6 linked regions of the Ovis aries genome follow. The main gene of each other region encodes a partner of the protein of the gene in region 4 in a complex. Links are inferred from orthologs where the notes say so. Each region holds a gene or a part of one and is shown on either strand. Other genes may lie near its edges.

Region 1 (3,500 bases), on a different chromosome or scaffold from region 4:
CAACCTGGTGGCTCAGTGGTAATCTGCCTGCCAGTGCAGGAGACATGGGTTCAGTCCCTGATTTGGGAAGATCCCACATGCCTCGGAGCAACTAAGCCCATGTGCCACAGTCATTGAGACTGTGCTCTGTAGAGCCGGAGAACCACAGCTGCTGAGCCCACGTGCTGCATACCTTAAAGCCCGTGGTCCGCAGCAGAAGGCACTGCAATAAGAAGCCTGAGCACCACAGCTAGAGAGTAGCCCCCATTCTCCTCAGCTAGAGAAAAGCCTGAGCAGCAGTGAAGACCAGCACAGCCAAATAGAAAAAGAAAATTAATGGATAAGCTAATTTTTACAGAGATGATGAGTTTAGTCTTTAATCTATAAAATGGGAATAATACTCCCTGTCTTAACTATTTTCCAGGGTATTTGTGAGAATCCAGTAAGAAAGTGATTGCAAAAGTGCTTTGACATCATAAAGTGTTCTGATGTGCAGGAGGTGAACTGTGACTTACAGTAATTCTGAGTAGTGATGATTATTCTTTCTGTTGTGGGAGTGAATTCCTTGGAGACAGTGAGGTGAGTCACCTCACTGGCCGATGTTCCCCAGTAGCTTTGGACTGACCCACTCACACTGTCTAATGCCTTTGGGTTCCAAGGGAAAAAACTGGGCCAGACAGACATCCTTAAGTGCTCATCTCACTACGGTCCCCTGCTTTTTGTTTTCTTTTGGAGTTACCCTTCCTTGATGTGGGAGAGAATCTTGGAGCCTAGAATGAACCAGACAGAATTTGCCTAGAAATTTGTTGTAAAAATCTGTGGGTTCTCCTGGGAGTGTGTGTCTAACTGTGTCACTGAAGCTGTCACTCTTTCTTCTTCAGGGGATGTTGGAAATTACTATTATGGACAAGGCCACCCAATGAAGCCTCACCGAATTCGTATGACTCACAATTTACTCCTTAACTATGGTCTCTACCGGAAGATGGAAATCTATGTGAGTTACTGGGAGCTTCACCCCTCCCTAGCCTCTTCAGCTCTGGTTCCCCATATATCATTCATTATCTCTTTTTTTTTCAATTACTCATGAAATGTGTTGAGTGACTGTTACGTGGCAGACATTGTAAATGGTAGAGATTGTTTTTTAACGTGCTCACTCTAGTGCTGGTGAACAACATGTACACAAATTGTACTAGAGTGTGTAAGGGCAATGACTTAAAAATGTGTAAGATTCAGGGATATTGAGGTGGAATGTGGAAGGGAGCCTTGGAATGTTTCCTAGAAGTGATAGCTAAACAGTGTTTTAAAGATTAAATAGAAATTAGCCTGGAGTTCAGGAGGGGACTAGCATTCTAGGCTGAGGGAAGAGCATATACAAAAAGGCAGAAAGGTAGGAACAATATGATGTGTTTAGGGAAATGTAAGTAGTTTAGTGTGCAAGTATTGCTGCAGTATAAAGTTGGCAAGTGTGAGAGAGGGGAGCTAGAGCTGGAGAGGTCAGCAAGAGTTGGGTGTGCTATATTAAGCAGTTTTGCTAGGCCAGGGTCAAAAAATCTAGTCCCTAAAAACTAAGTGATTGGAACTGTGTTGAACTAGATACCAAGTCTCTATAGTTACTGGAGCGTATGGACTTTCTAGCCATTTGGCCTGGCTCCAGCTGATGTCTTTTGCCACATCTTCCAGTTTTCCCTGATGGCTCAGCGGGTAAAGAAATCTGCTTGCAATGCAGGAGACACAGGAGACATGGATTCCATCCCTGGATTGGAAAGATCCCCTGGAGGAGGAAAATGGCAACCCGCTCCAGTATTGTTAACTGAAAAATCCCATGGGCAGAGGAGCCTGGTGGTCTGTAGCCCAAAGGGTCACAAAGAGTCAGACACGACTGAGTGACCAAGCACATAGTGGTTTTTAAAGAGAAGCCAGAACTCTGGATTATTACATAGAGTCTTCAAGGTTTAAAATGTTGGCCCAGGTTTGTTGGAAACATGTAGGAACAAAAGTGCATGAACATATCTGTGAGCCAAATTTGGTCCAGAGTTTCCCAATTTGAACTTTTCTGGAGGCTGTAAAAAACAAAAGAAGTGTTTATTCAAAACGTTCTGTTTATTTGTTCGGCTGTGCGGCTCTTAGCTGTGGCCCACAGCGTCTTCTGTCTGCATGGTGGTGTGCTGGCTCTTCAGGTGCAGCATTCAGGGCCTTTCACTGCGGCATGCAGGATCTATTTCCCTAACCCTGGGATTGAACCCAGGCCCACTGCATTGGGAACGTGACGTTTTAGTCACTGAATCACTAGGGAAGTCCCAAGTGAAGTATTTTAAATGAGAAATAGGAATAGGCATGCATTTTAGAAGCAGGGAGGCTAAGTTAGGAGGCTGTTGCAAGAGTCCAAATGAGAAAATAAGGAGGGGCTGGGGGCCTGTGTTGCCTTATGGTTAGAATGTAAGAGTTGATGAAGTCTGTGCCGACAGCTTACGTAACCTAGCAGCAGCAGCATCCTTCCCCACCATTCCAGAGACTGAAAGGAGAGGAATCTTCTGTCCCAGGCGACCGTGTCACGTCTCTGGAGCCCCTGGAGGCAGCTGGGGAAGCAAGGAGGGAAGGTAGATGGAGGAGCAGATGGAACTTGGGACCAGAGAGCATTTTCAGGTGTGAAGGGCATCTGGGAATGAAAAACATAAAAGATAGCAGAGGTTTTCAGGGACTCCAGGGAACAGACTAGTATTTAGATACAGAGAGGGTACCTGAATGTGGAATAGTAAGCACCAGGGCTCCACGGGGCTGCCTGTTGCACATCTCAGCCATGCTCACCTGGCCTCAGTTTGCCTCCCTCCCTGCCACTCCACCCTCAGAACCCTCCATTTCAGCCAGATCAGATTCTGCCTCTTTCCACCCCATTCTGATGGGGAGGATTATTTACTCCACCTAGTCATATCTTTCTCATTTTCAAGAGTTGCGTTAAGCACTGTTTCTTTTTTTCATTCAACAGATTTTTGTTGAGTACTTGTTATAACCCAGGGACTTTATTAACCTCCATGAGTGATACTGATATATTAATAATAAAAAAAGGGTCATATCTTTAAGTGAGAGGAGAAATTAACTAACATTTGTTGAAGATTGCTAGGTACCAAGCCAGGGCTACTGTTATTTACTTAATCTTTATAGCAACCTTGATTTTAATCACTCTCCGCTGTGCCTACCCTATACTATTTTTATTAAAGAAGAAAGCCCTTCCTAGCAACTTCCTAACAGATTTCCCTTTAAGTCTCATTGGGTCATTTGCCATACTTAGACCATTCACCAGCAATTTGATCCTTGGGGCTGGGTATACCCAACCAAATTGAGATCTGTTAAAAAGAGGGAAGGGAGAGAATAGCTCTTTGGGAAGTAACCAACCATGGCTGTCATAGGAGATAATAATACCTTATTGGAGATTACTTCATCTGTGTGGTATTCTTATTGTAAACTAAAGCAAAAGCCCAGTGTAATCTCTTGCTGAAATCGCTAGACCATGTTCTCTTTCATGT
Region 2 (3,500 bases), on a different chromosome or scaffold from region 4:
TCCATAATGAACCCCCAGAAGAACATAAGCTCTGATGGCATTGGCTGTGCTTATCCTGTTCTCATCCTCAGCAGTTACACAACCCACAGGAAGAGCTCATACCTGTGGGAAAAAAACAACTGAAAAAGATTAGTCCTGCAGATGTACGTTGAAATCTAAGGAGACACAAACAGCTGACGTCTTTACCCCTTTCTATAGCAAGAGTTTTTTCAATACCATTGTTTGGATGTTAAAACACACATGCACCCCTAACCCTGACTTCAGTCCTAATTACAAAGAAAATCAAAACTCACATTTGCATCAATTTTTTTCACATTCCATTTGCTGATTCACTTCTATTTTATGGAACAGACTCTTTAGGAAGGTACTGAAGATTAATTTTAGACTTATTAAACTGGGGTTAGCAAATCGCTCTTCTAGTCTATGAATTATTACATAATCTGCTATATTAGCATATTTATGCAATTTTTGTCACCAGATCCTGAGTTACCTTAAATCCCACACATTCAGGCGGCGATCAGTACCACTTGAAGCCAGAATGGTTTCGTTATGTGGAGACCAGTGGACCTAGCAACACATATTTGAAAACATAAAGAATCATCCATTACTGGGTCTGTGGCTGTTGTTCTAATCCTAGATATTTTCCCATTTCATCTTCTGTACCCTTTGCTTGGCCTACAAGCCTTCACTCTTTGTGCTGTCCCTTCAGGTGCTCTTAAATGAAACATCTCTTCAGCCTTCCCCTGGGAGGGTCATATTCCTCAAGGGTAACTCTGCTAGGGCTCCCAATAAACTTAGCTCCCAAACCACCCCAGAAGCTTTTAACATTTCTTTTAACATGAAGTGTACCTTAGCCTATGCACATCTCTATTTTAAACCATATATAAGATTTCATTTAAAAAATTAATTTACTTATTTTTGGCTGTACTGCTCAGCTTCTGAGATCTCAGTTCCATGACCAGGGATTTAAACCAGGCCACAGCAATGACAGTGCTGAATCCTAACCACTAGACTACCAGGAAACTATCTTTACTTTTTAAACTGATCCTATTTTGCAAAGACTGTTCCTTTTACTTCTGAACTAACAATATCTAGAAATCTCCAAGTTATTTCTCACTAGTTTACTTACACAGTAGGCAAGGAGCTTTAAAAAAAAAAAAACAAACAAACACAGGGAATTCCCTGGTGGTCCAATGGTTAGCACTCTAGGCTTTCACTGCCAGGGTTCAATCCCTGGTTGGTGAACTAAGATCCCACAAGCCACATGGCATAGCCAAAAACAAAACAAAAACCCAATGTCCCAAGTCCACTATGTAAAAGAAAAAAATTTATAAACTTCTCTCTAGTAAAAAGTTACTAAAATCTGACAGAGACACCAGAAAACTGTCACATACCTGGAAAATTTCATCTTTATGAGATTCAAAGGTATGGAGTTTCAATTTTAAGTTACGCAGATCCCATAAAGCTACAGTCTGAAGAAAAATAAAATGAAAAGGAATTTGTTTCTGCACTTTACATAAGAATTTTAAAATATTGTAGTAACAAAGACAAGTAGGTTTGTAAACACCAAATATGCAAAAACTTAGAAACCTTATCCGCAGAGCCAGTTGCAAGAATGAACTCGCTGTAGGGATTGAAGGACAGGCAATTGACCTCGGCAGTGTGCGCATCAACCAGGTGGCTCGGCTTGGAGGTGGTGTTGGACCTAGTGTCCCATCTAAAACACAAAGGTACAAGGCACACAGCGCAAGAGCAGGCCACTCAACCCTGCCCCACCTCCCTCCCCAACACTTGTGCCCACATCAGCACCACTCCATGCCACTCCTCTCTCGCTAACTTGCCTTTCAGGGACACTAACCATGCAGAGTTGGCAACTTGGACTTCCAACCACTAGGTGATATGCTCTAAACCTGCACAGAACAAACTAGGGCTACCTCTGCTTTCTTGTTCATTACGTCCCTATCTGGATTACCAACTATTTCAAGCATGCACAAAATACTAGAGACTACTGTTTCATATCTATAACCTAGCCTAGTCAAATTCAGTATTTTGCTTTGTTTGCCTCAGATGCTAGTTTATGAGATAAAAAGCATTCCAGGTGCTTGAATGCAGCCCTGTAGCCATGCCTTGATGCACAATCACTCTCCTCCCTCAACTTCAAGGCAAGTTACCCTGATCCCCGATTTTGATACATACCACTGCCCCAAGCATGTTTCCTCATGTGCACGTACCTGTTTTTTTCTTTTTCTAAATAAAAAGTTGTGTTCAATCATACAGCACAGTAACTTTTACGTAAAAAGGCCATCCCTATTTATAGCTTCTCATGTCAATTATACCTCACTAAAGCTGTTTTTCTTTTTTTGAAGGCCAAGACACAATTTAAAAGCCACCACAATCACTGATGGTCATTCAGGACACCCATATAACAAAACCCCACTCAATTTTCCACCTTACATCATAAGTTTCTGATCATCAGCAACAGATCCAAACAAGGACTCATGCAGCAGGTGCCAGGCCACATCCTCTACAACAGCCGAGTGGCCGGTAAAAATTGCTTTAGCATCCACAATTTTGCCTTCCTTTGGTCCTGCATTAATATCCCACAGACAGACAGTCTGAAGAAGGAACAAAACAAGAGTCAGTTATGAGAGACTGAATTTAAATGCTAACACCTTATTTAAAACTCTTTATTAAAAACAAAGCTACTTACTATATGAAAATTTTTTAAAAAAGTGAAGTTTCATAAACAGCAAAGTGTACAGGTGTAGCTTCCACAATCTGAGATGCAGAGGGGAAGGAAAATACAGTGTAATGGGGACGGGAGGACAGCATGGTGGCAGGCAAGAAACATTCTGGTTTGAGTTTCCACCTACATACATTCAATCAAGTATCTAAAATTCACCTAGATTACACAACACGAGCCTGGGGTTCAATATCCACCAAACTGAAATGCATATCTTAAAACTTCATGCTGGGCTGGGAAACTGGGAATTAAAACTAAAACATGCTTCTTAAAAAGTGAAAGCTTTTGGACAGCTGTCACTTCACAGCAGAAACCACTACATACATCAGCAAGTGCCAACAGCTGAACAACCTAGAAACCCCTACAAGGCTACTGAAGAGACCACAGGGCCTGCCCAGACCTCAAAGGTTACAGATCCGCAGGCTTTGAGAGTTTGAGTCTTTTCTTAACATCTCGTCATAAAAATAGCTGAGAAGAGTCTGAAGTTTCTATGAAAAAATATTGCAAAGTATAGGGCAGTGATTGTCACCTCAATGGAGTAAGAGGTAATTCCATTAAGGTATATTCAAATTAATTCCACTGACACTAGTATCAGCTTCCTCTCTTCATCAATCATTTTATTATCTGAAAGGGTTTCTGTTACACAATACATGTGGCCCTTAGTCTCTGTTGATACTCACACATTTGGACGCAATTTACATGCATGGAAAAGGTGGAATGTGTCGAACTATTACCTGCTCCTCACCTCAGAAAGATC
Region 3 (3,500 bases), on a different chromosome or scaffold from region 4:
ATGAGTCTCATTTTACCTGGATGAGTCTCAGCCTTCCTGAAAATTAATGGTCAGTGATGAAATTACTGGCATTGGAGCAGAAGGTTTATGGTAGAAAATGTTAGAAAGTAGAGTCTTTAGAAGGATTGAGCTGTTTCCACTAAAAAAAAGGAGTGATTGATTCATAGTTGGTGTTAGACCTGTGTAATCCTTTTAAAAGGAATATTGTTTTTGAAATTGATTACTGCTTTCTAAAACACATATGTATAAATTTGGATTTGCTTTGAAATGTATCTCTTTTATTCTGGCAGACAGTTCTCTTGAGAGTAGTGGTAGGGGACATTGTATACTTTGTGTTTGGTAACCTTGATCTAACCAGTTGTAATTACACAATTCTGACATTTATTTTTCTTCACAGAGGCCCCATAAAGCCACTGCTGAAGAAATGACGAAATACCACAGTGATGAGTACATCAAATTTCTACGTTCAATAAGACCAGATAACATGTCTGAGTACAGTAAGCAGATGCAGAGATGTACGTTTCTTTGTTAAAAGTATATATTAGGAGGGATAAGTATAAATAAGTACTTTCAGAACTTGCAATTAGAGTTACCTAAATCTAGATATTTTCCTGATCTAATTATTTTTATTATTTATTTATTTTTAAAAGTCCCTGTGACAATACTAAAGCTGCTTTAAAAAAAAAAAAAAAAAAATAGCCTACCTGAAGCTTATTGGTCTGCCGAACTGCCAAAGAGCTATTTGGATGTTCTTTGCTCTTTGGTTTGGTTCCATGTTAACTTTGAGATAGTGGATGTTGGTAGGGAAACCTCCTTCCCCTGCTTTTAAAAATATGACTGTACTTTGGCAGTAGTCTGGTGTGTATGTTTCTTGTCTTCTATTTGTGTGCTTTAATCCAGACTATTCCAGAAAGTTCCAAAAAAGCAAAACTTGAATTTACCTCTTGTGGGCAGCTGTTTACATTGCATTTACAACTATCTGTTGGTGCTGCTTAAGTTACTTCAGTTGTGTCCGACTCTGTGCAACCCCATAGACAGCAGCCCACCAGGCTCCCCCGTCCCTGGGATTCTCCAGGCAAGAACACTGGAGTGGGTTGCCATTTCCTTCTCCAATGCATGAAAGTGAAGTTGCTCAGTCGTGTCCGACTCTTAGTGACCCCATGGTCACTATCATTATATTAAATATTGAGTAATCAGAGATGATTTAAATATATGGGAGGATGTTCCATTGGTTGTATGAAAACACTGTATGAGGGATTTGAGCATCCCCAGAATTTGCTATCATCCGGGTCCTAAAAACAATACCTTGTTGATACCAAGGGACAGTTGTACGTATATCTGTATTTCCCTTTGTTGTATCAATGAAGCTTTTGACTCTCTTCTACACAGTGTTATCTTTTGTAGATATTTTATTATTAGAGATTGAATGCAAGAAGATAGAGTGCAAGATGTCTTTCTAAAATGACTAGAACAATGTTTTTTAAAGCTTGATACTGGCATTCATTCCGATGTTTTTATTGATGGACTTCATTAATGATTTTGTTAAAACAGTATTATTTGTTCAGTAATACTAAATTAAGTGTAGTTGCTAGACATCTTATAAATTCATAGAATTTGATGTACATTTTGTTTATCTCATTTGATTCAGTAAGATGTTGTATTACAAATATTAATAGATATTATTTGCCCCTGTTTTTTCAATGGGGATTTAGGCTTAGATTAAGTCATAGTTAGCCCTAAGGTAAAATGAACTAACAGGATTGGTTTTAAATTTACATAATACTGAATTGTATTAAGATAATGATCATATCTGAATAGCAGGAAGATAAAATGTATATGTTAAAATAAATTAAGGATGTACAAACCTATACAAAGTAAGTAATGACCCTTTTTCTTGAAGAGGATATAAATTGAGGGGTGAGGAGAACTGAGAATGGGTTGTACAATCTGTGTCCATTTCATCCTCTCAGTACCAAGAAGCTAAATATGTTGTGATGTGCTGTGTATCTATATTCGTGTGCTGTCTCCTTGTGCCTTAAGTATCTCTTTCATCTGTATCTTGGCTGTCATCAGCTTACGGAATTCTTACCATCTTTTAAGATTAACACTAACCATGGATGTGGGCAACCAACTGTTACATTTTTTTGGTGATCAGTACATTTCAAAGTTATGGATATTCTGTATACTTAAAGGAGTTTTAAAAAATGTAAATCATAAAGTAAGTGAGCTTAAACTTTTTAGGATTTTAATTAATTTACTGCTCTATATTTAAGGAGAAATGCCTAGGAAATTTAACCTCGTATTTTAATTAAATAACCCCAAATACCTTTTCTATTTTGATAGCTACTGATTTGTTTAAAAAGCAGATATTTTCCATAGATAATCATGTGAAGAATTGGTGGTGGTATTTCAGACCTTATATTTTAACTGCCTTGGATAAAATTGCAAACTTTACTACTATGATGTGTATGTTTTATGATTGCATCAAACACATGTTATTTTTAGGATATAGTTTTTGTAAGAAAAGGCTTTCATTGATTCACAGAATGGATTGAAATTAATGAAATCCGTCTTCCACAGTTAATGTCGGAGAGGACTGTCCAGTGTTTGATGGACTTTTTGAGTTTTGTCAGCTTTCAACTGGTGGCTCAGTTGGTAAGTGTCTTGATTTCGTCAAATTTAGAAGTTGATTTAAACTTGTGTGTATTTTTTGAGATATTTGTTTGAAACAAGCTTTAATAGTGTCTGATTTTAATAACAAAAGTAGTATGTGTATAGTATGTTTATAGCTGTCTACAGTTACAGTTGTTTTCAGTGGCGCGCACCCCCCCACCCAGTTTTGTGATCATAATGTCTCAAACTTTTTATTTGCAGCTTTTTACTTCACTTGCATTTCCAGTTAGAGACTTCTTTTTCCTCCCTTTCTTCTAGCTACCGTTGTCACTACCACTTTCCAACTGTGTGCTCTTATGTAACCAGATCACAGCTACAGGAGAATAGTCACCTAAAGAGAAGCTGTTAGTGCCCATGGCAGTGGTCCTCTTATGATTTTATACTCATTTGCTTATGCATGACATCCTCTTTCCTCTAGGGCTTTTGTCTAGTTATAGTAACTTTTAATTTTGAACATTTAAACATTTCTCCTATCTTTAATTGTTAGCTGGTGCTGTGAAGTTAAACCGACAACAAACTGATATGGCTGTTAACTGGGCTGGAGGATTACATCATGCCAAGAAGTCAGAAGCATCAGGATTCTGTTATGTTAATGATATTGTGCTTGCCATCCTTGAATTACTAAAGTAAGTTCATTGTGTTTGACATTTTTCCTGTAAAAAGTGTTTTAATTCATAGTAAAAACCTGTGCCTTTTTTAAAACATGAACAATGGGTTGAAAATAGTGGATAAATCATGTACAGATTCATTCCAAACCATTGTAAAAATGTAGGAAATTTGGCTAGTTCTTGGATTATTAAGAATGAGAACTGCATATTGATGTCTGA
Region 4 (2,622 bases):
AGGCATTATAATGAGAGGTGGAAAGTTGTAGGTCAGGAGTCAGCAGATCTTTCCTGGGAGGGACCCGGGAGTGGACATTTCGAACTTCACAGAGGACTCCTCCACTCTGCCAGGGTAGCAAAAGTAACTACAATACGTAAACCAACAAGCATGGCCATGTTCCAATAAAACTTTATTTACAAAACCAGGCTGTGGGCTGGATTTGGCCTGCAGGCCACAGTTTACTGAGGTTACATTGCTTGGAGCTGGAACTTTACTGGTGGTTCAGTGACTTAAGATTTTGTGCTCCCAGTTCAGGGGATGGGAGTTCAATCCCTGGTCAGGGAACCAGATCCCACATGCTGCAACCAAGACCCAGTGCAACTAAATAAATAAATAACACACACAGAGTTAAAAAACAAAAAAAGATGCTTGGAGCCAGCTTGCCTGGGTTCAGAGCCTGACTCGGCCTCTCTCTAGCTGTGGGCCCTTGGCAAGAAAACTTCGTGGTGTTTCTTTGTTCCCTCTGGCTCCAGGGGAGGCCCCTTCCTTGCCTGCCCCTGGCTCCTTGGTGCTCCTTGGCTCACAGCTGCATCATTCATCTCTGCCTCTGTTGTCACAGGGCTTCTTCCCTGGGTATCTCTTTGTGTCCAAATTTCCTCTTTTGAGGACCTCAGTCACTGGATTGGTGCCCACTCCAGCCCAGGATGACCCTTTCTTAATTTAATTAATTGATTTGATTAATTTGCAAGTGCCATGTTTCCAGCTAGGGTCACAGCACAGGTGCTGGGGGTTAGGACTCAGCTGTCTCCACCCTCTGGATTTGGGGGATGAAGAAGTTCATCTGGTGAAGCCTCAGGCCCTGCCTGGGCCCCTGGGGGCCCCTGTCGGTGTCCGCTGATTGTCAGGTCACTGTCACCCACATGATCCTCTTGCAGCCAAGGTTAATGCCTGTCTGGAAAGCGGAGAGCCAAGATGCCAAACCCTGGGCTGGTTCCCCGCCACTCCCTCCCTCCACCCTGTGGCCAGGTTTGCCCTTAACGGCCCCCACCTAGGCATGGCTATGCCCGCTGGCAGGACATCCAGAACGACCCGAGATACATGATCCTCAATGAGCCCTTCAAGTCTGAGATCCACAAGGGCAACTACCTGGAGATGAAGAACAAGTTCCTGGCCCGCAGGTTCAAGGTCAGTCCTTGGCAGGGGCCAGAGGTTGAAGGTTAGGGGGCCGCAAGAGGATGGGTTATGAGAAGGCCTGGGGCAAAGAAACGAGCAAGCATTTCTTATACCCTGCCCGAATATCCGGGTGTGGGCCAGACCATCCATGAAAGGGAATTGTTGAGTCAGTCAACCAACAGGTGCTGGCTCCTTGCTCTGAAGCCAGACCCCGCTAGGCGAGCGTCCCTGCTCTGGGTAATGGGTGCAGGGGATCCAGCTTGAGGAGGGCTCTGAGGGGTGGCCAAGAGAATGGACAACAACTGGGTGGAGAGGGGCTGTCTTCCTTCCTTCCTTTCTTTCAGAGCCCTGGCCGGTGGGAGTGGGTGCTGTTGGGGAGGCAACCAGGCCAGCACTCAGTCCCTCCCCTCACCCTGACCCCCCCTCACCGCACCCCCACCAGCTGCTGGAGCAGGCGCTGGTCATTGAGGAACAGCTCCGGAGGGCCGCATACCTCAACATGACCCAGGACCCCAACCATCCCGCCATGGCCCTCAACGCCCGCCTGGCCGAGGTGGAGTGCCTTGCCGAGAGCCACCAGCACCTGTCCAAGGAGTCTCTCGCGGGAAACAAGCCTGCCAATGCTGTTCTGCACAAGGGTGAGTGAGCCCGTCCCCTGGAGATGGGCCCACAGCTTGCGTCTGCCCAGTGGCTCCTTGGCAGTAGGTGGGGGTGTGGGGCTTGGGACCTCAGCCCCAAGGGCACAGCCTCCAAGCCAGATGGGACAGACTGTCACCCAGCCTCTGCTCTTACCTGCCGGAAAAGTGAGGGCCTTGCTTTTCTGGCTTTTTTCTGAAGGTCAGCGCTGTGTAGGCCCTGGGTGGGGGGGTAGGTGATATAGCAGAATATTAAGTTGTACAGGCTTGTTTATTGAGCCCAGACAATATGCTTTATTTCTATTTTTTAACTTATTTTAGTGAAAGAGATAAGGACCCTTTAAAGTTTTTTAGTTTTTATTGACATATAATTGATTTATTATGTTTTGTTACTTTCTGCTGTACAGCAAAGTGAATCAGTTATACATATAGATCCGACTCATTGGAAAAAATCCTGATGCTGGGAAAGATTGAGGGCAGGAGGTGAAGGGGGTGACAGAGGATGAGATAATTAGATGGCATCATCTACTCAATGAACATGAGACTGAGCAAACTCTGGGAGATATTGAAGGACAGGGGAGCTTGAGCATGCTGTAATCCATGAGGTCACAAAGAATCAGACACAACTGAACGACTGAACAACTCTTAGATTCTTTTCCTTAAAGGTCATTACAGAGTATTGAGCAGAGTTCCCTGTGCTGTATAGGAGGTCCTTATTGGTTATCTATTTTTTTTTGAATATTTATTTGGCTGTGTCAGGTCTTAGTTGCGGCATGCGGGATCTTTGTTGTGGTGTGTGGCCTCAGAGTTGTGGTGGGAAAGCTTAGTTGCT
Region 5 (3,500 bases), on a different chromosome or scaffold from region 4:
GCCTTGATCTGAGAAGATCCCACATGCTGCGAAGCAACTAGGCCCATGTGCCACAACTATTGAGCCTGTGGTCTAGAGCCCAGGAGCCACAGCCACTGAAGCCCATGCACCCCAGAGCCTGTGCTCCGCAATAAGAGAAACCACTGCGATGAGAGAAGCCAGTGCACCACAAGGAGGCCCTCCTGCTGTAACTAGAGAAAAGCCTGCCCAGCAGCAAGGATCCAGCAGTCATAAATTTTAACAGATTATAAAATAAACAGGGGAAAAATTATCTATAACCTATTAGTTAGGGATAACTTACATTACATATATAGTTAACCCAAAAGAAAAAATGAGGAAAACACATAAATAGGCAGTTCAAGAGACAGACAAAAGATAAATATTTTAAAATAAGTCCAACATCACAAATAACTTAAAAAGCAAGTTAGGGAATCCCTGGAGGTCCAGTGGTCAAGACTCTACTTTTGCTGTCAAGGGTGCTGATGCAATTCCTGGTGGGGGAACTAAGATTCTGTAAGCCCCGTGAAGCAGCCATTAAAAACCAAATGACACAAACACCAAAACCAAGAAAGAAAACATCCCTCCAACAACAACAAAGTAAAATGAGCGCGCAGCATTCAATGCTGGTAAAAGCATGCAGAAACAGACATCCATGTATCTGCTACTAGTGAAATTGAGTTTTTTGGAGGGCAACTTAGCAGTACCAATACACTTGAAAATGTCCTTGCAAATTAATCAACATTCAATTTAGATAATTGTTCTACAGCAAAACTATGCAAGATACATGCACAAAGACTTTTTGAAGTCAAAAGATTGGAAACCACTTAAATGTTAATTGAGGGATGGTTAACTACAGCACAGTATAAGCCATCAAAAGGAGGCACATTCCCATATGCTAACAAAAAAGATGGCTGGGATACATGAGGCTGGGAAGTATATTTTATCTTATATTCCCAGAACAAAGAAAAACTGCCTAGCCTAAGTACTTAACGTTATCTGTTGAATGAGTGATCCAATAATTGGGATAAATCATTTAGAAAACTATCAATTTAACAGTGATCCATAAAGGACAGATTTATGTGGTGAGGGGTTCACACAGTTGCTTCGATTTTTTTTTGTCTGCACTACGTGGGCTTGTGACATCTTATTTCCCAGACCAGGGATCAAACAGCACGTCCCCCACTCCCCACTAAAAGCAGGAAGTCCTAACCACTGGACCACCAGGGAAAGCCCTGCTTCAATTTTTAAAGATGATTTATTACATTACCAATCAGAATATTTGCTTTATGCCTAAATAACTAAAAATTCTATTTAAAGACAGTTTGTTTTAATAAAAAGAAAACAAGCTCAGGGAGGCTGAAAGATTTATCCTCAAACTACACAGCTAGTGAGCAGCGCAACAGGGTCCCAAGCCCTAGTCTTCTGATTCTTTCTTTCCAACAACAAAAAAAATTTGCTATTTTTGGCTGTGCGGCATATGGGATCTTAGTTCTCCAACCAGGGATTGAACCTATGCCCCTTGCAATTTAAGCAGAGACCCCTCCATCACTACTAATGCCTACCCAGAGAATACCGCTGCAGTAACCATATCCTATAGTTCACACACACAGGTCAGTGACGCAAAATCATGTTTGCTGGCTCTTATCCTAAGAACTTATTTTGCATTCTGCTAAGCTAAATACGGAATGATCAAAAGAATAACTGCACATTACAATCTTGGCAAATAACTGGAAACCAAAATAACTTAGATAAAGGAATGGATTCCATTAATCAGGAGAAATCTAAGATAAGAAAACATTACAGATTCATTTTCTGGGGCCACAAATCTCAATACTGAAAGTCTATCTTCTACCTTTGGTAATAATTTGAGTTCAAGGACAATAAAGGAAACCCACTCATTTCTATCTCTTCTGAAAGGGAAAAAAATAATTCATGAATAGTTAAGCCCTAAGGTTACCACCTAAAATTAGGATATAATTAAACACTCATTTAATTTTTATATACTATACAGCAAATATCTTTCTATCACTTAAACCTGGAAAGGGTAATTTAAGCCAGTGCTTTTCAATCTTTCTTTCCCCCATTATTGCCCTATAAGATATTCTGACACCTTAATGAAATTCTAATACCACAGATAACCTGTGTATTTGTTTATGCATGCTATGTATATCTATGCTTCAAACAGTTCAAAGAATAAGACTGTTTTCACATATACCCCACTCTGAGAATCAATATTCAATTCCCCAGGGGCAGTATCTTCCATGTTGAGAATGCAAGCATGCATGGCAATAATATATGGTGGATTTTAGCTTCTTGAAATTTGCCTACCACCAAATTTAGTTCAAGAAAGTTTACAGAACTAGTACAGAACCAAGTACATGTTACCTGTCTTCTGATATCTAATATCTATACTGAAAATCAGGCTTTCCAAAGCTTAATATCTTGTTCTTAACTTGAGAGGCTACTTTATCAAACTGTACCCACTTTTTTATGATATTTCAGAGACACAAAAATATAACCAAAATAAGTATCATTCCTTCCTTCACCTTAATTAGGACTCCTACCTCCTTTTTCACTGTCGTAGTGTGAAGCATCAAACTGAGCATCATCGTTAGGGAGCTGCACGCTGGCTATCACAAGGTGGTTTTGTTCATCCGACGTGTGTGTCCCCAGGACAAGTCGATGAATACTGAAGTCTTTCCCTTCTGGTCTGTAATAGCAACATATGGTCAATATTCAGTTTAGTAAACTAAGAGAGACCACAAAGTCAGTGACATACACGTATATACAAGACATTATTACAACAGGTTTTGAGAGAAAGAAGTCATTAAGAGCCATATTTCCTTACTTTTAACATATCTTCCATAGAGCTGAGGGCAGGTACCACATACCACTTAATTTCATAATTATTTCTTAACTTGGCCAAATATTTACAATTACTTTTGAGGAAAAAGTCCGACGGAATAAAATAAAAATTAATTATTCATCCTTTACAAGGAGCTGGAGAGAAAAAAACCAATTGTTGGGTATATGAACACTCCTGGTTACCTCATTAAAATAGAAAGGGACTGACATCAGGTAAGCTAATGTCTCAAAATGAGATAAAACCCAGAAGAGGAGGACAAGAGCTTTGAAAAACAGTATTCCAAGGGAGGTAAGCAAAGATGAAGGTTCTAATACTATGAAGTAATATTCTAATTTAAAGATGGTTTGGGAAAACTGACTTCCTTGGTGGCTCAGACAGTTAATCTGCCTGCAATGCAGGAGACCTGGGTTCAATCACCGAGTCAGGAAGATCAACTGGAGAAGGGAATGGCTACCCTCTCCAGTCTTCTTGCCTGGAGAATTCCACGGACAGAGGAGTCTGGCAGGCCATAGCCCGTGGGGGTGGTCTAAGATTAACTAAGTAACAGAACTAGGACTGAAATCTAAATCTGACTTTAAATGTGGGGAAACAGTGGGAGAGTAGGTCAAAAAGCAGATTGAAATCAGACTCTAGG
Region 6 (3,953 bases), on a different chromosome or scaffold from region 4:
GGGTTAGTTCCTGAGAGAGGGAGAAGGAATGGGTTGCAGGCGTGGAAGCAGTGTGGAGAAGTCAGGCAAGAGCCCAGAGCTTGATTTGCCTGTCACCTGGGTGATGTGGTAGTCGACCCGACTCTGAGCCAGTCCTTTGCTCAGTGTTCAGAGGGGGGTGCCTGTGGCCCTGGGAAGAGTTGGCGCAGGGACCCCAAGTTCCACTCATGCCCACAGCTTCCTGCAGACACAGGGAGGGCCGGCGGTCCAGCTGCCCAAGGCCAAGGAGAAAACCAGACAGGGCGTGAGCACGGTCGTCTCAGAGCATCGCAGACAATGCGCGCAGTGTGCGGGGACCAGGGAGGGCCCTGAGCCGAGGGAGGGATTGGCAAAGGCCAGCAGCTCCTGGGGCCAGGCGCGGCTCCCCGCCCCCACGCCAGACAAAGAGCGGCCCGGGCCTGGGGAGCTGGCGGCCTTCCCGCCACTTGGGGCGCCTGGGGGGGCTCTCTGGCGGGGAGGCGGGGGCTTTGTCTAACTCCGCCACTGCCACCGCCGGCCAGGCCGCGGCTTGGCAACTCGCGAGCAGGAGGCAGGGCTGGAGGGCGTGAGGGATGATGACAAGGAAGCCGGAGGAGCGGCAGTGGAGAGTCCATCTTGGATGCAAATGGCTCAGGGAGATGCGGGCTTTCTAAAGGGGTCCACGCTCAGGGCAGGGGGCAGGTGGCCCCTCACCCGAACACCAGAGATCTGGAGACCTCAGCGCTCCTCCTGGAGTTCACCACAGGAGAAGGAAGACAATCTGGGCACAGGTGCTAGCCAGCCCAGAGCAGGGCTTCAGGGTGCCTAAGCGGGTGGCTTGCTCCCTCTGGGACCCCAGTCCCCAAAGGGCCAGGTTCAGGGTCCCTGCCTCAACTGCACCAGGGGAACCTGAGACTTCCTGCCCACCTGGGCCGGCGGCAAGACCCTCCACCCATCCCACCCCAGAGTCAGATGAGGGAGGCAGTGAGAAACATTGGCCACAAAGCCTGCCTCTTAAGGTGTGCAGACCCGAGAGATGAGAACATTTCAGCTGAAAATAGGGGCCGTTTGCTCTTGGGGCTCAGACAGAGCCCACACTTGACCAACTAAACTATCTACCCCCACAGCCATCCACACCCTGAATCTTAACCCTTTCCAATCCCCAAATCTCTGTCCAAGAAGTTAAACACACACACACATATATACACCTACGTATAGGTATATACGTACATGGACATACACTTAGTGCTTTTCTGGGGCGCCCTTCAGATTTTGGAGTTATCGAGTTAACATTAGAAGACAAGGCCCAAAACTTTCGGCCAACTGCCAGCGTGGCACTTCTGACCAGGGAGGCCCATTTCCTTCCTGCCAAGCCCCTGCCTCCACCCCTACCCCCATGCACCTCGCTTTTTTGGAAGTTTCCCACCAAGAGTCTAAAGGAGAACCTCGGTGAGAGGGGGCAGTCAGTCACCTACGAACCCCACAAAATTTTACCACCAGCCACACACATCCCGCGTGCCCCCTTGCCACACACACACCCCGCCCCCGCCCCGGTCTCTGAGGCAAGACCCCCAGACTCAGCCTAAAGCTTCCGGACAACTTATGCAGGAGTTTTCTGGGACCGCCCAGCTTCAGCCCCAGCACACGGAGAGCACTGCTCCTGGAGGAGGCCCCTCTAAACCTAGACTTGGGGGCTCCAAGCCGGGACCCCGGCTCAATGCCTCCCCCGCCCTCCGCCTGCAGGCAACTCCGAAGCCCCCGGTCTTCTTCAACTTCTCTCACTTCGCGCACGCCTGAGGGGACCTCCCGTGCGCCCCGTTTTGGGCACCTGCTCCCCCACGCCAGGCCGGGCGGGCGTCCACAGACCACCTCCCCTGCACCGCCGGTGACCCCAGCGGCCCCGCGCCCTCGGGAGCGGCTGCAACCTGGCGCTCTCGCCGCCCCGCAGCGCCGCCTGCGCGTGGCCCGGCCTTGCTCACGTGCACCCCTGCCTCCCGGACCCCCCGCCCGGGCCTGCCCCTCAGGTCCCCAAGGGCGGACCCGCGCCCCGCTCCCGGCGCCCCGCTCCCGGCGCCCCGCTCCCGGCGCGACCGGGCCGCTCCCGATTCCCGCCGGCAGGGGCCCTCGCCGAGCCGCCCAAAAGCCGGAGGAAAAAGGAGCCGAGAAAGCCTCCCCCGCCCTCGCTCGCCGCGCTCCCCACAAGCCGGGGCCGCCGGCGTGGGGGGGACCGCGGCGGCCGCCCGCGACCCGGGCCCCAGCCCCGGCCCGACCCGAGGCCCGGCGCGGCGCGGGTCGCACCCGCGAACTTTGGCAGCGCGCGCGCCGGAATCATGGCGGCGGCGGCCGCGCTGCCCCGGGCCGGGACCCGGTGCCCGCCGACCCCGGCCGCCGCGGGCTCCCGGGAGCCGGGGCCGGGGCCGGGCGCGCGAGCCCCCAACTTGGCTGCACTTGGGGCGCGGCGCGCGCAGCCCGCGAGGCGCACTCACTCACCGGCGTTGAGGGAGGCGGCAGGCATGTGCGCGGTCAAGTTCGGTTTGTAAGACATCCCCCCGAGCGGCGGGGCGCGCCGGGGCGCAGCGGGGCCCGGCCCGCGAGGGCGGCGGCGGCGGCGAGACCCGGCGGCGGCGAGGCGGTCCTGGCGTCCGTGCGCCCGTCCGTGCGCCCGCCGAGCTCCCGCGCACTTTTTGTTGTTGACGGCTCGGGCCGCACCGGCAAATATGGCCGTCCCTCACCCTGACACCCGCTGCAGTATATCACCCATACATCGGGCGGGCGCGCGGGCGCAGGGGCGGCCGCAAACTTTGAGCGGAGCCAGCGGGGCCGGCCGGGGCCGGGAGGGGGCGGCCCGGCGCGCCGCGGCCGGGCGTCAGGGGGCGGTGCCGCCCGCGGCCGCGCCCCGCGCCTCCGGGCGCACTCGGCGCCCGCAACTTGGCAAAGTTTGGGGGGCTGGGGTCCCGGCAGTGCCCGAGGCCCACCTGGGTCCCCTTCTTCTGCTGCGCTGGCGATGCCTGGAGATTTGTTGCTGTACCGATTCATTTTTTCTTTTTTTTTTTTTTTCTCTAAAGCTAGGTAGGATTGCGGAATTACTTTTTCGCCCCCCCCCCTCCTTGACTGTGGGGGCAGGGATGGAAAATTACCTGGAGAAAATGGTGGCGAGTGGTATTTTTAAGCACGTAGATCATTCCAGACGCCGAGGTCTGCCTTCTCCCCAGAATAAGATCAACCAATTCTTGACATTGATTTCAAATAAATTTCACGTCCCTGTCGGTATTAAGTGGTTGTTAACCCCTTGGCGGCCTAGACTCCTTTGACACTGGACAAAAGCCAAAGGCCTCCTCCCGCGAAAAACACACCGTCTCATCCACCTAATTTTGCATCTTAACTCGTTCAAATATTTAAAAAGCGCCTGCTGTGTGGCGAGCACTGTTCTAGGCGCTAAGACAAGAATAAACTTGACCAAGTTTCTTCTCTCCTGGAGATTACATTGCAATTTTTGACCCTCTTCCTACCCCACCACAGCCCACTTCTCAAATCTGACTGAATTGCAATCATGAAATTTATTTTACATCAGATGATGAAGCTTTTGAAGGTATTATTTCTTGGAGTTCTCCTTAAATAGTAAATCTTCTCAAAAGACACAAGATGCCCGCCCTTTTCTGCCATTTTTAATCGCCCTGCTTTGCAAATATCTTTTATTAGCTACAGACTTTCAGATACATCTGGATCTAGTGAGAATTCTTATTGCCCCAGAGGTAAAGGATACACCCATTCCCTCCCTCCTTCCTTTAGAAGTGAAGGTACAAGCGACACCCCTCTTCCCAGGATCGCTTGTGATCAGCTTTAGGCTGGTTCCGTCAAGGATGTTCAGCGAAGTGTTAGTTCGGGGGTAAATTAATATCATCCTTTTCCTACCCTGCTCTCAGGGGACCAATACTCTAGAGTAGCACTGTCCAATA

Evidence for each region.
Region 1: CHD5 (region 4) and HDAC1 share a complex: the UniProt entries of both Homo sapiens proteins name them as parts of the nucleosome remodeling and deacetylase (NuRD) repressor complex. The link is inferred for Ovis aries from reciprocal best matches to the Homo sapiens genes CHD5 and HDAC1.
Region 2: CHD5 (region 4) and RBBP7 share a complex: the UniProt entries of both Homo sapiens proteins name them as parts of the nucleosome remodeling and deacetylase (NuRD) repressor complex. The link is inferred for Ovis aries from reciprocal best matches to the Homo sapiens genes CHD5 and RBBP7.
Region 3: CHD5 (region 4) and HDAC2 share a complex: the UniProt entries of both Homo sapiens proteins name them as parts of the nucleosome remodeling and deacetylase (NuRD) repressor complex. The link is inferred for Ovis aries from reciprocal best matches to the Homo sapiens genes CHD5 and HDAC2.
Region 5: CHD5 (region 4) and RBBP4 share a complex: the UniProt entries of both Homo sapiens proteins name them as parts of the nucleosome remodeling and deacetylase (NuRD) repressor complex. The link is inferred for Ovis aries from reciprocal best matches to the Homo sapiens genes CHD5 and RBBP4.
Region 6: CHD5 (region 4) and CDK2AP1 share a complex: the UniProt entries of both Homo sapiens proteins name them as parts of the nucleosome remodeling and deacetylase (NuRD) repressor complex. The link is inferred for Ovis aries from reciprocal best matches to the Homo sapiens genes CHD5 and CDK2AP1.

What each region holds. Positions count from the first base shown.
Region 1 is NC_056055.1:235,253,498-235,256,997, reverse strand, and holds part of HDAC1 (histone deacetylase 1), read left to right. Parts: intron 1-403; exon of another isoform or gene 404-558; intron 559-860; coding exon 861-973; intron 974-3,500. UniProt on the Homo sapiens protein: Histone deacetylase that catalyzes the deacetylation of lysine residues on the N-terminal part of the core histones (H2A, H2B, H3 and H4).
Region 2 is NC_056080.1:15,052,134-15,055,633, forward strand, and holds part of RBBP7 (histone-binding protein RBBP7), read right to left. Parts: intron 2,616-3,500; coding exon 2,455-2,615; intron 1,718-2,454; coding exon 1,591-1,717; intron 1,473-1,590; coding exon 1,395-1,472; intron 568-1,394; coding exon 491-567; intron 1-490. UniProt on the Homo sapiens protein: Core histone-binding subunit that may target chromatin remodeling factors, histone acetyltransferases and histone deacetylases to their histone substrates in a manner that is regulated by nucleosomal DNA.
Region 3 is NC_056061.1:23,747,405-23,750,904, forward strand, and holds part of HDAC2 (histone deacetylase 2), read left to right. Parts: intron 1-397; coding exon 398-515; intron 516-2,580; coding exon 2,581-2,655; intron 2,656-3,160; coding exon 3,161-3,299; intron 3,300-3,500. UniProt on the Homo sapiens protein: Histone deacetylase that catalyzes the deacetylation of lysine residues on the N-terminal part of the core histones (H2A, H2B, H3 and H4).
Region 4 is NC_056065.1:46,558,137-46,560,758, forward strand, and holds part of CHD5 (chromodomain-helicase-DNA-binding protein 5), read left to right. Parts: intron 1-1,034; coding exon 1,035-1,167; intron 1,168-1,597; coding exon 1,598-1,793; intron 1,794-2,622. UniProt on the Homo sapiens protein: ATP-dependent chromatin-remodeling factor that binds DNA through histones and regulates gene transcription. May specifically recognize and bind trimethylated 'Lys-27' (H3K27me3) and non-methylated 'Lys-4' of histone H3.
Region 5 is NC_056055.1:234,977,801-234,981,300, forward strand, and holds part of RBBP4 (histone-binding protein RBBP4), read right to left. Parts: intron 2,711-3,500; coding exon 2,565-2,710; intron 1-2,564. UniProt on the Homo sapiens protein: Core histone-binding subunit that may target chromatin assembly factors, chromatin remodeling factors and histone deacetylases to their histone substrates in a manner that is regulated by nucleosomal DNA.
Region 6 is NC_056070.1:52,346,833-52,350,785, reverse strand, and holds the start of CDK2AP1 (cyclin-dependent kinase 2-associated protein 1), read right to left. Parts: upstream 2,801-3,953; 5' UTR 2,543-2,800; coding exon 2,488-2,542; intron 1-2,487. UniProt on the Homo sapiens protein: Inhibitor of cyclin-dependent kinase CDK2. Also acts as a component of the histone deacetylase NuRD complex which participates in the remodeling of chromatin.